2 linked regions of the Schizosaccharomyces pombe genome follow. The protein of the gene in region 1 interacts with the protein of each later gene in a biochemical or structural test. Each region holds a gene or a part of one and is shown on either strand. Other genes may lie near its edges. The genes, in order: ulp2 and pmt3.

Region 1 (6,011 bases):
CGACCATTTACGTACTCATCCTTCTGTGAATAACCTAGGTAAAGATTCTGATCATGCTGATAAAATGTATAATGAAGGAGTAATTCTAGGAGAAGACGAAGCAATGGAAGAGGAGGCTTTATCTGAAGCTGAAGAGAACATTCCTAAAAAGAAACCGGACTTCAACGAACTTCGAAAGAAACATTATTTTGCTATGGCTAAGCCCTTGAAAAGAGATGAACTTGAAAGCAGTGGTACAGAGAGTGATTTAGAGAGAGATAATAGCGATTCTGGGTCAGCTTCTGATGTAAATATGAATGAAAATGAGTGAATCACTTTATTAACTTTACGCATTATTGAAACGTGAGTTGCAAGTACAAAGGATCTTGAGTTTCATTTATTATAACGTCAAACGACTGCAAATTATTTTTTCGACCTTCAAAGTTTTATTACATGAGCTTTTGCGTCTTCTCCGTTTACGTTTTTTATTCATTTCTATTCCCCTTTTTTGCCCTTTTCACTTTGGTTGTACAGTTGTTCTGCTCGGTTTATATTAAAACCTTTCTTATGAACTTCAAATAGTTTAACGGCTTTCATTTCATTTTTATGCCCTTTTAGCAGTCTAATCCTTCATTTATGGCCGCTAACCCTACCCATTCTTTTTTTTTCATAGTATACAATTTTTTATACTTAAATACTCATTAAGCACATTTTTTCTTTATTTCGTTGATAGGTTGCTTAAATTTGTATGAAACACGAATACAGTTGTAAAATGCAATGAAGGAAATAATAATATTGCTTAGTGGAAAATACTTCAACTACAAGAAATTGTAATCCTTGATTTAATAAAGACGCATGTCGATTGTCTTATTTAAATCCTGGCATAATAATATAATCCTGAATAAAACAATAGAGCTATAAGCTTCGTTAAGACTGATTAAAGGCATACATAGGCATGACAGATATGAATATTGTTAGAAAGGTGACCGACTAGTCAGTTTATACACCTCTCCGACCAGATCGTTTAAAGAATGTCTTTACAATAAAGACTTGAAGAGCAGAAAGAGCGACAACCATTATAGATTCAGCAAGACTAAACCAAAAGATGCGGGCTTGAGTAGACTTTACAGTAGAATAATTACGATGCTCCCGAGTTTTGAAGTAATTTTGTACACGGTCAATTTCAGATAATGCGGTTGAGATCTCTAAAACAGTACTTTGCATGCTGTCCTTTTTGTAGTCTTTGGCTTCATCACGGGTTAATGCAGGAAGAGAAAGTTCATTTTCCATAGTGATTTCCATAGTCACAATTTTATCAGTAAACGTAGACATATGATTATCAAAACAGAATTCATATTCACCCTTTTCTTCGAGGGTGAAAAATACATCAGCCTGTCTTCTCTTTTTGCCAAGTGCAACGGTCTTCTGAGATGGTGCCTTGATCATATAATCGACATCAAAAGAACCGCCAGACTGAACAGCGTACGTGAAATGTGTTTTTTCGCCAGTGTGAAAAGAATCTAAGTAGTAACACTGCTTCTCTTGGTTTTCTAACTTGAATGTTAACTCAATAGCCGAAGCTAAGCTGGCGAGCAAAAATAGTGTTATGCCGCTTAGAGTAATTACGCGCATTTTCTATAAAGTAAGGTTAATCTTCAAAAATTTAATATAACTTTTAATTCCAATGTATCAAAACAAATTCACTTACGATATGTGAGTAGTTTTATGCTCAGCTGCAGAGTAGGCTGTTGCTACGTTGAGTGTTGACAGTGTGGAATATGCTGTATCGCAAAAGGCAAGTATCGATAGCGTTCTGGGAATATAAATTAGAGTATTAGTCTTAATAAATACTCTTAAAACAATTTTACAAATTTTTCTTCTTTTAATCATTTACAAAATTGTTTATGAAAATGAGTATAAACCCAGAATCATCAGCATACTAATAACAAATAGTAAACCTTCGAAAAATAAAAGCAGAAGTTTTTCTTCTTAATTATCAAAATAATTTGGTGGTTTTAAATGATCTAGTCCCAAACATAGTTTAGAAAGGAAATCGTTCAAAACTAACTTTCTTTACTATGATATCATATAATAAATATTCAAGTAATATTGGTATTATTATACTTCTTCATGATATTATACAAAGGTCAAACAGGTTTTCATGCGTGAATGTCCCATGCTCTTACTTGTTCTTAATGTATTGTTGTTATTTTTTTTTATAATTTACATTGATTTTAATGCGACTATGGTTGCAATTGACTAATGTATCTAATGCATTCGTAAATCAGAGATAAATACAAGTTTAAATAAACGATCTGTAAAATATATTCTAGTCAATAAAAAGAATTTAGAATAGTTTACAAAAAATCATTTTCTTGGAAGTTAACAGCAACATTTTGTTCGCTATTCGTTATTAAAAAATCAAAACAATCGTAATATGATTAATCAAAGGTTAGGAAGAAATCAGCTTAAAAAGCAACTATGCCTTTCGTTTTTTATTCATTTACATTGAGTTAAAGACACTGTTAGAGATACTTACATCCTTTGCATTGGTTGATACCCTTTATTTACATTGTTTTACCCAGATCATCTACCGCAAAATAATGAATCCTTATGTTTTATTTGGACGCGCTGTGGCTCACAAAACCTGTGCCATTGATTAAGTAGTAGGCTTCTCTATCTCGCCAAAACAGGTATGTCATGAAGAATGAGAGATTCCAAAGATGCCGTATGTTATTCTTTTTCGTTTCTTTTTCTTACTAACTATTTTTTAGCTGGATGATAAATCAGGGTCATTCACTAGTCTTCTTCCCCCGTTTGGAAAACAAAGGTTTGACTTTACCTCGTCTTTTAATTCACATTCCTATATTAATATTTTTACAATCTAGAGGTACTAGCCCAAATGATGCTATTCCTATTAAGAGCCCGCTAGAAAGGCTAGCGAATAGTGTAACATCCCCGGAAAAGCCAACGGTTCGAACTGCTATACAGAAGGATTCACCAAGGCGGAAGCAGATAGATGATGATCAAACACCTCCTAAGCACTTAAAACGCTCTTTTCAAAATGTTACAGTGGTTTCTCGTAAGTCGCAACTTTTTTGCTCTGATCCATGTGTAAAGCATGAGGAAATGCAAAATGTTTAGAACAATTCCTCTTCTTCAGTATCAATAATTGATTTTTTAAAATAAAAACTAACTTATTTTTGCCTCTTTTTGGCTACTTTGTTTAGCACGAAAAAAGAAAACAATTGATGTGGTCGAGCTGCCTTTCACAAAAGGGGGTTATGGAGGTTTTTACGATCCTAGGCCTGGGTGTTTAAAATTTACTACCCATGAAATAAATGTTTCTTACACAGATACTAGCATTCCAGTCATTCACATCCCTGTCCAATTGTTGAAGCGGTGTTGCTGGCTTCAAGGATGGAGAGACAATTTGGTGGAATCTCCAGTACATGCTATTCATTTAACCTTAAAAAATAGAGATATGAAAAGAATTACGATAGGTGATTCTGCCAGTTTATTATTTTTATACAACCCATTACATGTAGAATCCGCTAGAGCTGGCCTTGATCTTTTGGACCAATCTGACTTTTCTTTAACATCTCCTAGTTCGGCTAAAGAATTTAAACAATTATTGACTTTAAAACAATCCACGATCATCCCTCGCACTCCCCAGAAAACTGTAAGGTCAATTGTTAAACAGACCTCGTCTCCACATTCCTCAAAAATGCCTAAACATTCCCTTCCATCCTCGCCAACTCCATTTAATTCCAATTCTGGTGACTCTCTTCTTTCCAGGATTAAAAATTCGAACCAGTCATCGTCAGAGCGTCCAACGGCAAATAACGGAGCTCAAGAGCAAAATCAGTCATCAAGTTCTGCTGGAAACACTTCCAATGACTTTTCAACTTTATGTTCTCAAGGTTCTGATAAAACACTTCTGTCTGATGCATCTTGTACCACTATTCTCGTATATCCGTTTTCTGGAACAAATTCAATTGCCATTACTAATACCGACCTTACAAGACTCAATGAGGGAGAATTTTTAAACGATACTATTGTTGATTTTTATTTGAGGTAAGTTTTTTTTTTTTTTTTTTTTTTTTTTTTTTGGAATCTTCGCTTCTTTTAACCTCAAAAATTTAGATATTTATACTGTAAATTACAAACACAAAATCCTTCTTTGGCCAATGACACTCATATTTTTAACACATTTTTCTATAATCGTCTTACTTCAAAAGATAAAGATGGGTATGTAACAGGCTTTACTTCTATCAATTATTTGATCACTAATGGGTAATATAGCAAGCGGCTAGGTCATAGAGGAGTTCGAAAGTGGACTCAAAAAGTTGACCTTTTCCATAAAAAATACATTATTGTTCCTATCAATGAAACATTTCATTGGTATCTAGCTATTATCTGCAACATTGATCGATTAATGCCTGTGGACACAAAACTGGAAGAGCAGGATGAAATAGTTATGTCGTCTGTGGAACAACCGTCTGCTTCAAAGACTAGACAAGCAGAATTAACGAGCAATAGGTATGTTAAAGGTTTACAATTTTATTGATTAAAAGGAAAAATATATCATAAATCATTTGATTCAGTTTACTAAGTTAATTATAGTCCAGCAATTTTGATTTTTGATTCTTTAGCAAATCTTCATAAAGGAGCATTAAATTACTTACGTGAATATTTACTGGAAGAAGCTTTCGAAAGGAAAAATGTACATCTTAAGTCCACTGATATACGGGGGTTTCATGCAAAAGTCCCGCAACAAAGCAATTTTTCTGATTGTGGTATATATGCGTTACATTTCGTCGAACTATTTCTTGAAACTCCTGAGCAAGTGATAGCCAATACTTTAGATAAATCTCTTAGACGGACGGATGCTAAAAACTTCGACCAACAGTGGAACCTTCAAAAGATTAACACGATGAGATGCGATTTGAAGGGTTTAATTCGCCGTCTGTCAACTGAGTGGTCGTCTAACAATGAACGACAATCGCTTAGCAGCGGAAGCAACGATGAAGAAGATAAAGAAAATGATGATGATTTGGCAATATTGCCAATCACAAATTAGAATTTACAAGGGAATTAGGGAAATCATAATTTCATATTAAAACTTAACGAAAGCATTATTATCAAAAATTTTAGCGTAGAAAAATCAACAAAATTCATGTCTATATCGTGTGTATGCTAGCATGTATAACTTCGCTAGCGACGTTTAGTATACAGGTGCTTCCGAAATAAGGCATGATGTTCTTTACTGTCCTTTTTCAGCTGTTTATTAGCACTCTTGTTATATTCCACGTATGCCATATTGTCGGCACCAGCCAATGTACTTAAAGAACCACTAGAACGTTTAGCTTTCGCCGGTGCTCTAGAGAGACTTCTGGATCCAAAGCTAGTATCCTCACCGTCATCCAAATCAGCTGCTTCTTCATTTTGTAGCAATACTTCCTGCAAAAGCTCAAGTCTCTCCGCTTTGGAGGCGTAAGCCAAATTTGGCAAGTTCTCCATACCCTTTAAATTAGTGATGACTTTAAAAGCATAGCCTTGGTCAATTAAAAATGCTTGCCGTTTACTGGAATAATACATTTCCTGAGTGTCTTTAGATACCAAGCTATAGAAAAATGCGTTAAAGCCTTCATCATTTCGTCGCTTGGCACGAAGAATACGCCCCAAACGTTGAGCTTCTTGACGCCTAGAACCATAATGAGAAGAAATCTGAATCAAACAGGTTGCTTCAGGAAGATCAATAGACGTATCACCAACTTTAGAAAGGAAAATGGTATTTACAAGTTCATTATACTGGAAATTTTCCAAAATCCTCATTCTTTCCTGCTGTGGAGTTCCACCATAAATAAAATATTTGCCTAATTTTATTGCATAAGCACGCAAAGCATAGACATTGTCTGAAAAAACGATAATTTTATCACCACGTTTTTCGTGATAATCGATGAGGAATTGACAAGCCTGAAATTTTTTAGGATTCATGATATAAAGTAGCATTCTTTTTCGGGAGTTTT
Region 2 (7,048 bases), on another chromosome or scaffold:
TTGATTTATTGCAATAATCTCAATCGATCAGGGTGAATTCCAGATTCCAATCCCTCATCTGCAACAGCTTTCCTGGCCATCTTTTCCTCGCCTGCCTGCTGTTCCTCGCTAGCAACCCGTTGTCTCATTTCTTCTTTCCATTTGCGATTTTTTTCCTTAATTTTATTCATGCGGGCTTCTGTTTTGCCGCCTCCTCCGGCAGTTAATTCAATATTGATTTTCCTTTCCTTATAAATAGTATGATGAAACTTTAAAGCTTTTGAAATAACATCGGTCTTGGGATTTATAAACTCAACGAATGCATATCCTTTCTGACGACCACTAGTTTTATCGGTAGGAATACGAACCGAAGGAACTTGACCTGCGCGTTTGAAATGAAGTTGTAGAGTTTCAACAGAAGAATCCTTAGGCAAATTACCAACAAACAAAATGACCTTTCTGTCATTATTTTTCCCTTTCTGTCGTTTGCTTTTCAAAGTTTTATGAGGGGGATTTGAAACGCTATGTTTATCTTTATCATTTGATTGTGCTAGTTGCTTTTCTGGTAGTTCATCTCTCGATATTTTGTCAGCGGCTTTCTTTTCTAATTCCTCATTCTTTTGCTGTACTTTCTTCTCATGCTCTTCCAAACTTTGCGACTTTTTATCAAATTTTTTGGAGCGGTATTCCAAAGATTTTAATTTCTTTTTCGATAGTTTCGAAGACATTAAATAAAAATTTGATAATGGAGAATTGAAGGTGTTCAGTACAAAAGTTCCTCTATCCATAGGCAAGAATATTTTAACGATGTTTACCCTTCTGACAGAATGTATACATAACAAAGTTTCTTAAAACTTCGTTAAACAAATCTGGAAAGTACAATTGCACCATCGCTAGACAATATCAGAAGTCTCTTGTTCAACGAAGTAAGATAAAATTTAAAGAAATAATAACAAGTTAATTAGTGTTATATTTAGAAAAATGTCATTGCAGTACATTCAGTCATTATTAGATATTATTAGATATATAAATAAAATCATAAGTCCCCTTCAACAATAACTAAGTTTTCGGATTCTTCATCTGTGTTCGACTCTCCTTTGCTTTTTTCAGATTTATCAAGAATAGCTAAATCCGGAACTTCTTTTTCGTTATTTTTTGCTTTTTTGTCTTTCACTTTAGAGGTACCATCCCCATAACGATCTAATATGCTTTGATCAATATGTTTCTGGGTAGTCATACGAGATGCCTTGTTTTTTCGAAATTCCAGCTCACCAGCTGTTGGATTGGCTACAACATGGACACGAGTTCCAGAACGCTCAGCTTCCCAGGCAAACATTTGTAGTTTTTCGAAGTCTTCTTTTTCACCACCAGATGCTTTGACAAAGCCAGCACCTCCAGAAGAATCATCCACCATATGATATCCAGTTTCGTCTCTCATTGATCTGGATTTGGGTTCATATTGTAAGTTTTTATTGTCAGCTCGCAAATACGCCACCACATCTTCTCGCATTCTAAGGCTTGGTGTAGTTATGGATGCAGAATCTTCGGAACCAGAAACGGTGGAATTTCTTGATGCTTTAACAGCAGAATTTTCTGACGCATCCCTATTCTCTTCCCCCTTATTTTGTAATTCGTCCAATTTTTCATATCTCTCAATAACTTTCTTATAATCCGTGGCATCATAGCCATTCCAACGATCACGTTTCGCATCCCATGAAACGTTGATATCTTGAATAACTTCGTCTGCTTGAATATCTTCTCCTGTCCAACGAGCACCCCGCTTTCTTGGTCGCTCCATGCAATCTTTAACTTTATGGGACATGGCTCCACAATTCTCACAAGCACCCTTTCGATATTTTGTAGCAGCAGGTCCTAATTTTTTCCCTCTAACGTACCAAGAGCCTTCAATGGAGGAACGACCACCACTTGGTGTCTCTTTCTTGCCTATCCTTTGATGGGCTAATCTTTCGACCGCATCATCATCCTGAGCATACCAAGGAGCGGTTGAAATGAATTTAGGAATATAGGGATTATCAGCATCTGGATTATCCATAGGACGACTACGACGCTTCTGTGCCTTCATTTCACGCATCGAAGGTCCAATGTCTGTTGACATAAAGTTTTTGTCCTTAGAATAATCATAATTAGATTGAAAAGTATTATTCATATAAGACATTTTTAAGGTAAATAAATAAGAATATTAATGCTTGATTATTATGCCAATTAATTCGAAAATATTAAAAAGATTCAAGTAAAGGTTTAACACCGATGAAATCAACAAAATTGTCTTTTATAACAAAACGATATAAACCGGCTTATTTATCGACGGCTTTATTTTTATAGTTCGACAAATATTTGCTAGCGTTTCAAAAATTCTTGTAGATTTGCAGTTTACGGTTTTCTAACCATTGTTATAAGCAGAGTAAACGTAGTAAGCAAATAATTAACGTAGCTTTAAGACACAACTAAACAAAATAGTGGAGTAGATTTATACACGTTATATTATATACCACATTACGCTATTCTTGCTTCAAACAATCACAACAGTCATTCCTGATCTATGAGAATTTGATTGTACCCCCCTGTACCTGTATATTCGATTTTATATAGTATCTGAGAAAAAATGTCTGAATCACCATCAGCAAACATTTCTGATGCTGACAAAAGTGCTATCACTCCTACCACAGGTGACACTTCGCAACAAGATGTCAAACCATCCACAGAGCATATCAATTTGAAAGTTGTCGGACAGGTGTGTGCTACAGCAAGAGACTTTCATGCTATTCCTGTCATCTTTTGCTTTCAAAAGTCTTTAATGCACGAATCGTGAAGCTAACTTGATGTAGGATAACAACGAAGTATTTTTCAAAATTAAAAAGACCACTGAGTTCAGCAAGTTAATGAAGATTTATTGTGCACGACAAGGAAAAAGTATGAACAGCTTACGTTTCCTTGTTGATGGGGAACGTATTCGTCCAGATCAAACACCTGCTGAGGTAAGTTTTAAACTTTTACAACAAAAGCCGGTACTAACTATACATTTAGCTTGATATGGAAGATGGCGATCAAATTGAGGCTGTCTTAGAACAGTTAGGTGGTTGCACCCATCTATGCCTTTAGAGTACAAGTATTTTTAAGCTGTTTCATATACTCAAAACTAATATTTTGATTTTGCCAATACGTTTATCATCTCCAGCATCGTCGCTCAAAATATTTGAAAGAATCAATGAAATTAAATAAAATGATTTATATTAAAATTATTTTTTTTTAATACAAGTTTTTCCAAACGTTATTGCCTGCCTGCCAATATATCAATTTGACTGACATAAAGTTCACGCATATCCTTAATGTCCAGCTCTAATTCAAACACTTTGTCACTTTTCTGCTTAAGTGTTACCAACGTACTGGCATGCTCTTTTTCGAGGTTCTGTAATTGTAGTCTAAGCTCTTCCACTTGCTTTTTTGAATCTTCATTTGCATCATTATTTACATAGGCATCAACAATTTCTTGACGGGCCTGATCTCTTTGGATTATAAGTTGCGCTACTTGCTGCTTAGTTGTTTGTAGTTCGGCTTCTAATCGGCGAATTGTGGTAGCAAGTTGCTCCAAAAGACTAACATCAGGAACATTCCCGGCACCTTTTTCAAGATTGCTGGGTGTCCCTGATGTTGGTGATATTGCCTCAGATTCGTATAGGCTAAATTTTCTTGAAGCTTCCGAAGGAGGAGAAAGAACTGCACTGCTTATGGAAGCATACCTTGACTGAGCGTTTATACCCAACTTTCGCGCTTCTGATGCTGATCTGGAAATTCTGGATCTCTCTTCTGAAGGGGAAGGAAGATTATCCAAAAAGTTTTCTAAAGCATTCCGTGTATCGCTTTGTGGGATTTCTGAAAAACTCAAAGGAGATGGTTGCGGACTTGTTGAAATATTTAAGGGATGTAGGTCGTCAAAATAATTATCTTTGTCATTTTCTAAAGCTTCATCACGCTTGCTCATAGATGAAGGTATCGGAATAGCATTAGTAGGGGTAGTGGGATCTTCATCTTCTTTGGTGACTTTAAGCGTATCTACCTTTCCAACCGTATAATCATTATTTTCAGGAATTCCTCCTGTAGTGACAATTTTTTTAGGCTTAGATTTAACATTACTTCTTATATTAGTGTCAAGCTCCCTTTGTAATCGGTCTAGTTGTGTTTGTAAGTCCAAATTTTGGGCTGCTAAAGTATCATTTTCCTCTCTCAATGTCATATTAAAAGCCTGAGAACTCCTTATTTCTTCATCTTTCCTTTCACAAAGTTTCTCCAATGAATCTAACTGTTTAGACATTTGAGATACTTGATTCTGGAAAGTCTCACGTTCCCTTTCCCAATTCTTTGCACCATGCTCGGATTTCTCATAAAGTTCTTTCAGGTCTTGAATTTCCTTTTTCTTCTTTTCATCTTCACGTACCCATTGACTCCTTTGAATCGAATACTGGGTTGAGAGGGTCTCTACTTGACGCGTAAGACGAACAACCTCCATGCTTTCTACTGTAAGTTCTTCCATTTTTCTTTGAAGATCCTCCTTTTCTTTCTCTAAAATTGATATCCTCTTTTCAAATTGAGACTTTTGTAGTTCCAATTGTTCCTCCATCTCCTTTGAGTCAGATACCTGTAATTCCGGAGTCGCTTGTTTCTCGTCTAGGCGCTTCAACTTTGTTTCAGCTTCACTTAAACTCTTTTTAAGTTGCTTAATTGTATTGTTTAACTTTAACTCATTTTTTGAAAGCGCCTGTCCTTCCGTAAGAAGCTTTGCGATAATCTCATCTTTTGATTTTGCATTTCCTCGTGACATCTCCTCAATCTGATTACCGTCTAAGACTTTGTCAATACTGGTTTCAACATTTGACATTGCTTTCTTAAGAAAACCTCCCCATTTTGAATTCTCCATGCCTGCTTCACCGTACACTGGCTGGTAGTTGATCTGTGTACTCTACGTGGTATAGGCCCACTTTACTTTATGAACGTAAAATAAAAGATTTCTAAGTGCATATGCCTCGCACGTCAATTTGTACATATGTTTACTTTAGTCTATTGGTGAAGGATAAAAAAAGAAATTTAGATAAGAACATTATAATAAAGGGCTACATTTCAACAAATTAGTGTAGTTCGGATTTTTAGCTATCAGCATATGAATGAGAAAGCCGTCGTGTTCGTACAGGAAAGAAGTGAAATATTATTCATCAAAAATTTGAAATAGTGGAACTCATTGATGCATTATTGAAAATTGTGAAAGTTTGCCTACCAGACTCGACAGGTGATGAATGGAGTAAGAAATATTGATAAAAATTTCGAACACGTATCGACTGTTTTTAACGCACTTAATGAAATCATCAATATGAAAAATTAAGTGCCTAACTTTTTGCCCTTCCCAATGAATGTTCCAGACACCTTTTGGGAATTCAATTTGGGAGAGTTGGAGCGATGGACAACAGGAGTGTGAATCGAATCAAAAAAATTGACGATCATTGCAGAGATAATACCAAAACCCAATACTACTAGAGATGGAAGACCTCCGGTTAGAAAGCTGAAGCCAAGAAGAACATATGGCAAATATTTGCCTTGAACATGAAAACCAAACAAAAACTGGATTTTGGAAAATGAGTTAAACAAAGACCAATTATAAGCAATGGCAGCGGCAAGCGATTGATTTAACGCGCTTCCAAGTCCTGAGATCAAGGAAAATGCCTAAAGAGAAACGTTAATAAGCATACTTTAGACCTTCAAATACTCCTTACATCAATTAAAAGAGCAACTTTAACTAAATAAATAATGTATTTTTTTGCATTCCTAGCAAAGACAAAGTTTTCCAGGTATGTGCTATATTGGTAAACTATTGACAAAACGTTAGAATTTAAATACAGGTTTTAATGGATTTACGTACAAAAATAAATGTTCATGATAAAATCAAATCCAGTTCCAGCATAGAGATAATTAGTAAATAAACGATACCATTGTTTCTGACGAACGACTAACGGATAATGCAGAACTAGCATCGAAGGTGAAAGAAGTTGACATAAAGTTAAAATTGTGGTAGCTGCTGTTCCAAGCAGAATATACCTTGTTACAGGAGGTATTCTAGACAGCAATTCTTGTATTTGACCGGAAAATTCCGAAGCCATGTCTTAACTGATTATGTTTGTTCAGGCAAGGTTGTATACGGAATTGTGCTACAATTACTAACGTATCGAACATTTTCATATATATGTACTATAGTAAAATATAAGTTATTAAATCTCTAACTTAGATCAAGTGAAAGCAAAATTATATGAAATTTGGAGCTTTCATGTATTTTACAGCACCTTCAAATCAAGTAGACTAAGCTAGCAGAAAGGCTACTAAATAACACATATACGGTTAAATAAGCTACATTAAAAGTAAAAGTACAAGTACAAGCGTATTTTTTTTATAAATAATAAACCAATAAATAAATTCTCACTTTTGAAGCCTTTTAAAAACGTCAATTCTCCGGTTAGAGCTTTATATTGCGTCTTTTCTCTCTCATTGTTTCTTGAGCAATAATGTCTTCAACAGCTGACCGTGGCCTTTTTACATTCTGCCCTTGATCTAAAGAATCCTTATTGTTCTTTTTACGGCTTTTATTCAGCTCTGCAAAAACATTTTTTGGTTTGTGCTTCAAGGAGGTCTGGGAGGATGAACTAGAAAAAGAAAATGTGGGTGTATTTCTTGTTTGAAAAAATTCATTTTGAGCAGAGTGAGAATCTGAAGATGAGGATAAATTAAGTTGAATCGGGTTTCCTTTTTTTGAAAGATCAATCTCATGTAGTACAGGTTGCTCCCTTGAACTTCCATCCTTATTGTCCTCGTTATTCTGTGCTGATTCATAAGCACGCTTAATCTGTTCATCAAGCAAGCGAAGACGTTGTTCTTCATCAGATTTTTCTTGACGTTCTCGTTTCTTGTTAGCCTCATTTCTTAAGATATTAGCAGGGTTTTTATCAATATAAGAAATAAAAAAACCCTTTTCATTTTCTTCCACGCGACACATTCCTTGACGACCCAGAAA

The links.
Region 2: of the proteins of ulp2 (region 1) and pmt3, one has a biochemical effect on the other in vitro, tested with the Schizosaccharomyces pombe proteins (one study listed by BioGRID).

What each region holds. Positions count from the first base shown.
Region 1 is NC_003424.3:1,763,387-1,769,397, reverse strand, and holds ulp2 (SUMO deconjugating cysteine peptidase Ulp2), read left to right. Parts: upstream 1-2,664; 5' UTR 2,665-2,686; coding exon 2,687-2,707; exon of another isoform or gene 2,708-2,753; coding exon 2,754-2,809; exon of another isoform or gene 2,810-2,867; coding exon 2,868-3,061; exon of another isoform or gene 3,062-3,142; intron 3,143-3,209; coding exon 3,210-4,056; intron 4,057-4,125; coding exon 4,126-4,230; intron 4,231-4,231; exon of another isoform or gene 4,232-4,284; coding exon 4,285-4,521; intron 4,522-4,605; coding exon 4,606-5,062; 3' UTR 5,063-5,165; downstream 5,166-6,011. Other genes in the region: protein phosphatase regulatory subunit Glc8, read left to right, coding at 1-310; erp2 (COPII-coated vesicle-associated protein Erp2/3/4), read right to left, coding at 979-1,611; transcription factor TFIIH complex ERCC-3 subunit Ptr8, read right to left, coding at 5,197-6,011.
Region 2 is NC_003423.3:2,504,292-2,511,339, forward strand, and holds pmt3 (small ubiquitin-like modifier pmt3), read left to right. Parts: upstream 1-2,553; 5' UTR 2,554-2,602; coding exon 2,603-2,731; exon of another isoform or gene 2,732-2,825; coding exon 2,826-2,975; exon of another isoform or gene 2,976-3,024; coding exon 3,025-3,099; 3' UTR 3,100-3,268; coding exon of another isoform or gene 3,269-4,912; 3' UTR 4,913-5,367; coding exon of another isoform or gene 5,368-5,709; 3' UTR 5,710-5,759; coding exon of another isoform or gene 5,760-5,854; intron 5,855-5,872; 3' UTR 5,873-5,905; downstream 5,906-7,048. Other genes in the region: SPOM_SPBC365.04C (RNA-binding and ribosome biogenesis protein), read right to left, coding at 6-707; splicing factor Slu7, read right to left, coding at 1,016-2,155; tmf1 (TATA element modulatory factor-like protein), read right to left, coding at 3,269-4,912; Der1 family protein, read right to left, coding at 5,368-5,709, 5,760-5,854, 5,906-6,143; kin17 (KIN17-like protein), read right to left, coding at 6,494-7,048.